2 linked regions of the Yarrowia lipolytica genome follow. Each later gene encodes a partner of the first gene's protein in a complex. Links are inferred from orthologs where the notes say so. Each region holds a gene or a part of one and is shown on either strand. Other genes may lie near its edges.

What was found.
Region 2: YALI1_B21798g (region 1) and YALI1_E36866g share a complex: the UniProt entries of both Saccharomyces cerevisiae proteins name them as parts of the mitochondrial small ribosomal subunit. The link is inferred for Yarrowia lipolytica from reciprocal best matches to the Saccharomyces cerevisiae genes RSM26 and MRPS8.

Annotation. Positions count from the first base shown.
Region 1 is NC_090771.1:2,178,230-2,181,164, forward strand, and holds YALI1_B21798g (mitochondrial 37S ribosomal protein mS42), read left to right. Parts: upstream 1-1,574; coding exon 1,575-2,357; downstream 2,358-2,935. Other genes in the region: YALI1_B21787g (uncharacterized protein), read right to left, coding at 1-558; YALI1_B21816g (uncharacterized protein), read right to left, coding at 2,751-2,935. UniProt on the Saccharomyces cerevisiae protein: Component of the mitochondrial ribosome (mitoribosome), a dedicated translation machinery responsible for the synthesis of mitochondrial genome-encoded proteins, including at least some of the essential transmembrane subunits of the mitochondrial respiratory chain.
Region 2 is NC_090774.1:3,685,624-3,688,322, reverse strand, and holds YALI1_E36866g (mitochondrial 37S ribosomal protein MRPS8), read left to right. Parts: upstream 1-1,662; coding exon 1,663-2,139; downstream 2,140-2,699. Other genes in the region: YALI1_E36887g (uncharacterized protein), read left to right, coding at 1-1,262; YALI1_E36847g (uncharacterized protein), read right to left, coding at 2,548-2,699. UniProt on the Saccharomyces cerevisiae protein: Component of the mitochondrial ribosome (mitoribosome), a dedicated translation machinery responsible for the synthesis of mitochondrial genome-encoded proteins, including at least some of the essential transmembrane subunits of the mitochondrial respiratory chain.

The DNA of each region.
Region 1 (2,935 bases):
GATGCCGTCGCCCTGGCTAGCGGGAAGAATAGCCTTGATCTTGGAGTTAATAAAGGAAAACTTTCGAGAAATGGTCAGCAGATGGTTGCCTGCGTTATCGTAGACGTTGACCTTGAAGGGTCGATGAAGTCTGTACACCTGTCGCATGATAGCCTTGACAAAGCCGAAATCCTCCTCCTCCATGAACCCAAGCTGGTTTCCATTGCCATCCATGATGATGTATTTGTTGGCCTGTTCAAAGCCTAGGATCAGGTTCATCATCTCCATACGACGTTCAACCACCAGAATCGGCTCAGAAAGCATTCTGGTGATGGCATCAGCACCAGTAAGCACTCCGCCAGGGTTGGGTACCTGGTTGTAGTATGCAGGCTGCACCACATTGGGGTTCACGTTTGGATCCTGGGTGTCGACAGGTCTGAATCGTGCTCTCATCCGACGAGCATCGCCTCGAGGAGGATGCTGGAGTCGTAAAGATGACGAAAATGGCCGTAGAAAAGTACACACTGGCTGCCGGGAGCTTATCAAGCCGCTCAAAGGCCGTAACTGTCGCACAAACATGGTTGGACAACGTAGAAGAGAGACTGTTCACGGTGGTAGCAATGTCATACTGGATACATGCAAAAGTATGCACCTAGAGCTTGCATGCGATGGGCTAGTGGAGGTGTACTTTTCCCGGGATTGTGTGTTTCCAAAGAGCAAGAAATACTGGATTCCATTATTTCATGTCTGTGGAGCTAGCTCATAGACCTGGTCTTCTCAGTAGTCATTAATTTGACATCACACACAGACCCTGTCGGTATCCGCCTTGCCTTCAAAACGCCCAGTTGGGAAGACCACTCGGAAGTGTAATTTGGTGCCTGATAGTGTCGAGTCACTGTGATATAGCTACGAGTAGCTACAGTAGTTACTGTATATGGTCATACTAAATAGTACTGTACTTGTACGAAAGCCACAAGTAGGGTAGCTACACTATACAATGCTGTATTGTACTTGTACTAGCACGAGCACGCCTACTGTAACAAAATATAGAGTCGTACCCGCAGTTTTCGTAGACATTTGGAGATTATGTAAGCACACCTTTCGTACTCGTACTCGTACTGTAGACACCTGGGGAAGGGGGGAGGGTGTGATAACCGCACTGGTCGGGTCTCCACAGATGAGTTACAGCAAGGCCTGACAGTTTGACGTTCAGTGACAATAATAGCGACTCCATTACTGTACCTGACCCGCTCTTCCGATCTACTCCTTCCAGACCAACCAGCGATTACGTACATAAGGTACAGAACTCCCAACTGGCTAACACAAATTCTTTTGCTGTGAGACCCGCGCAAGTTTGTACAAGTACGAGAACATTAGGAATGACACAATTGTTGATTTGTAATTAATTCGCAGTCAAATAACTTTTTCTTACACCGCTATAATATCTCCAAAAAAGGCGCTCTACTACGTAATCCCTTGTTGTACATTTATATCTTCCTCGCCCACAGCTCATTCACCAGCCAATTAAGGTTACCGTACAAGGGCCAAAATTTCACTTGGACACATCCAGATCTCCATTTTGCACTCCAGACACCATGTTTCGAAACGTGATTAGCCGAGCCAAAGTGACCCAGATCGGCTCGATCCGATCCATCCACACCCCCGCCAAGCTTTCACGAGAGTCCAAGTACGCCCAGAACGGCCTGGAGGGTCTGTACTCCAAAAACGGCTTCAACACCGCTTGGACCGACTACCAGCGGTTCCTGGTGTCCAAGCTCACTGACCTGACCGTCGACACTCCTCTGCAATCGCGATCCCCTTTTGATATTTTGCGATTCACTGCCGCCGACCGAGATCAGGCTGCTACATTCAACTTTGCCTCTCAAGCCTTCAACAACCACTTTTTCTTCGAGGCTCTGGCCGAGAAGCCCGTGGCCCAGACCACAGCGCCGACAGACTACCTGCGTTCTCGACTGGAGGACAAGTTCGAGTCCATGGAGCGAGCCCGAGAGAACTTTTTGGCTACCGCCGACGAGATGACCGGAAACGGATGGGTCTTCCTCTACGAGGGAGGAGACAAGAACATGTACATTTCGGCTCACCACAACGCAGGATCTCCCTTTTCGTTCCAGCGATTCCAGCATCAAGAATTCAACTTCCCCGCCTCCGAGGAGGTCAAGCGGGACCAGCAAAACATTGAGGCTGCTGTGCGAAAGGGCCTCAAGGAGTCCATCCTGCCTCTGCTGGCCGTCAATGTGTGGCAGCAAGCCTACGTGGACGACTACGGAGTCAACGGCAAGTACAATTACTTGGAGAACTATTGGGAGTGTATTAACTGGGATGTTGTCAACGCTAGACTGTTTGTTGGTGCCCAGTAAGGGATGAATATAAAAAAGGGGGATCTGAATGTATATAGTTGAATGATTTTATCATGTAAGGGATGTCGGCAACAGTACGTCTCCCCACGGTTTTCACGTACTTGTAGTGGCTCACGTAGACACTATCTAGTGCTCTGTATACCTGAATCTGCTCACGTTGTACAACTGTTTGTCCATGTATCAAAAATAGAAAGCATTAATGTTTACTTTAGTGTGTAGCCAGAGGCTCGTGCTGGAGCTCTGCTCATGAGTCTGAAGCTCAGTACAGTATTCTTTTCAGACCCCCCATCTACTCATTAGAAATACCTCACTTCCAGCGTTAGAAACCGAAGTTCTTACGCCATTAGTCATTGTCCCATAGACATCCAATAAATAGCTCACTCTTTCTCATTATTACCTGTTCAGCTCTCCTGCGCCAACAATCAGCTGAACCAAATCCTCGTCCTCACACCAATCGATCCCAGAGGCGGTGATCAGAGCTGTGAAAATCTCTGCCAGAACTCGTCGTTTGTTTTTGGTGTTGTGTAGCTTGGCCTCGAGCTCACTAATAGCCTGGTTGTTTTGATGACGGTCCGCGC
Region 2 (2,699 bases), on another chromosome or scaffold:
AGAACATTCTGGAGGAACCCGAGCCTGCATCCACACGGAATTCGGGTGTGCCGACGGGCGGAATTCCAGGCATGGACATTCCAGGTATGTCGAATGAACGGCAGCCACGTAATCAGTCGGTCATGTTGTCTCGATTGTTGTTTCTGGCCTCTGCCATGACCGCATCTTCGCTTGTGGGCACCGAGTTTGGCTTCCAGAACGGCGGAGGTACCGGATCATCCTCAGACGACTTTGACCGGTTCCTCTCTGGACTTTCGCGAGGTCTGCTCTCACCTGAGATCACTGCTCGTGAACCCTCTGGGGCGGAAGGTGTTCGACCCCTCAACTACTTTCGAATGTTTAGATTCCCTCCGACTGAAGGATCCACGTTTGTTCCTGTGCTTGTGGTCGGAATTAGATCTTCGGAAGATAACGGACAGGGACCCAATGCGGAGATCACCACTGATTCCATGCCGTTTTTCGAAGCAGCCACCTCCAGACCCATTCGTCTGAGTGAACCCACCGACACAGTAGAGTATAACCCTCTTCGCTCGCGCTACGAGCGTGGTAGATCTATCTTGGATCAATTCATGAGCGACTTTGGCCCATCATTCAACAACCCAGATAGACAGGGTAGCACAGACTCGTTGACGGAAATGCCCGACTCGGCATCCACTTACCATACCCCTCTGGCGAGCACGGAACAAGTCGACGATGCCGGTTCTGCATCTGCTTCCGCCATTTCTCCTGCTGTGGCTCCTCATCCTCTCATCCCTGCCACTTCTCCGGCTTCACAGACTGCCCCACCTCTGCCTAGCCTCCCTTCACTGCCTCCTCCGACTGGTGACAACGCCAATGAACCTCGGAATACTCGAGAGTCGCTACGAGAAGCCATCCCCGAGCGCCCCCTGAGACAGTCATGGATCGTCTATGTCTTTGGAGGCACGTACCCTGAAGACCATCCCATTCTCAATGCGGCTTCTCTGTTCACAGATGAACCTACCATGGAGGATCTGTCCCTGTTGGAAAGGCATCTGAGCCCCATGAAGAACCATCTGGCTACCCAGGAGGACGTGGAGCAGGCTGGAGGATTGTCGACGGTGAAAGAGTTCATCGAGGGCGAAAAATGCCCTATTTGCATGACGGATTACGAAAAGGGCGACGTGTGTCGGCAGCTCAATAAGTGCCATCACGAGTTCCACAAGGACTGTGTGGATCATTGGCTCCTGACTGGATGCAACTCGTGTCCCATGTGTCGAGGCGAGGGAGTTGCCAGGGCTTAAGTAGGGGTAGCATTTAGACATTACTTAATGTAACGAATTATGAGTGAGTCAAACAATAGTATTTGGTCGTATTGCAGAACTGGTAAAATTTAGTTGAGTTTAGTTGAGTTTAGTTGAGTTTAGTTGGAATTATCTAGAAGTATTTAAGTATAGGGATTGACGTGAAGATAACAGGACCTGACATTGAAGAAATGAGCAATTAAAAATTATAACAAGTTTGTTGTATGTCTGAATCATACATTATCAAGTATTTTTCATACTCATTTTTATATCAGATCATCTCATACTGGACAGCTTTTCCTACCACTGATCACACAGTACACTATCGAAATAAAGTTTTGGGTATGAGTTGCAAATTTCAACCTCCAACTTTCATCTCACCACACATCACCAGCACGACATGCCTCTTTTGCACGCCTCCAACCTCTGTGCGCACCTGCAGAACGTTGCACGAGTGGGCCGACCCCTCACATCCATTCCTCACAACAAGCTCAACCTGCAAATTGCCCTGGGTCTCTACCGTGAGGGTTTCCTTTCCGGCGTGCAGCGAGGAGACATTTACGGCCCTGATGCTGTCTACACAGAAACAACCCCCCAGAACGTGGCATCGCGACGGCTGTGGATCGAGCTCAAGTATCGACAGAACCAGCCCGTTCTCAACAGCCTGAAGCTGGTCTCCAAGCCTAGTAGACGAATGGTGCTGACCACCGAGGAGCTGCGACAGCTACAGCTTGGACGAAAGGTCAAGTTCGTCAACCCTCCCAAGATTGGTGAGGTCATTCTTATCAAGACTCCCGGAAAGGACGGAAATGTCATCGACCTCAACGAGGCCTGCCGACGATTCCTCGGCGGGGAGGTCATCCTTCGAGCCTCTTAAGCCCAATGAAAATGTACATAGTAAATGATTGGTTCTAGGTGTGTGTGCATTAAAGCGCATCGGTTTAGGTCTGTGCGAGTAGTCTTGGTATGAGTAGTACCTCTGTCGTTGGATCCCGTAGATGTCGTAGATTGTTGGATGTTCAGGATACTGGGCGGTTAGCGGTATGGCACAATACCTGCCATAGAAGCTTCATAATTACGTGAAGCGTGATCCAGCATCAGCTAAGATAAGGCAAGGTCAACTATGTCTATACATTTCCCCAGGCGCTCCTATTACACGCCATGGTCTTACTGTACATGCCGTCGTGTAATGTCTTATTTGTTGTCATATAAAAATTCATGTAAATATAAGTTGTGGGTATGGTGGATACTTCATAGGCACGATCAACGCATCTCGTCATGTTCCCTACAAAGTAACAACGCTGCCAATACCCTGGCTTCGCCATTGTCGCAGATCAACCTGCCATCCGGTCCACTTGCCAATAGCCTGTCGGGCGTTAGAAACATCGAACAGATCGACGTCCACAAGGGAACCAACACGGGGTCGGTAACTGCTTG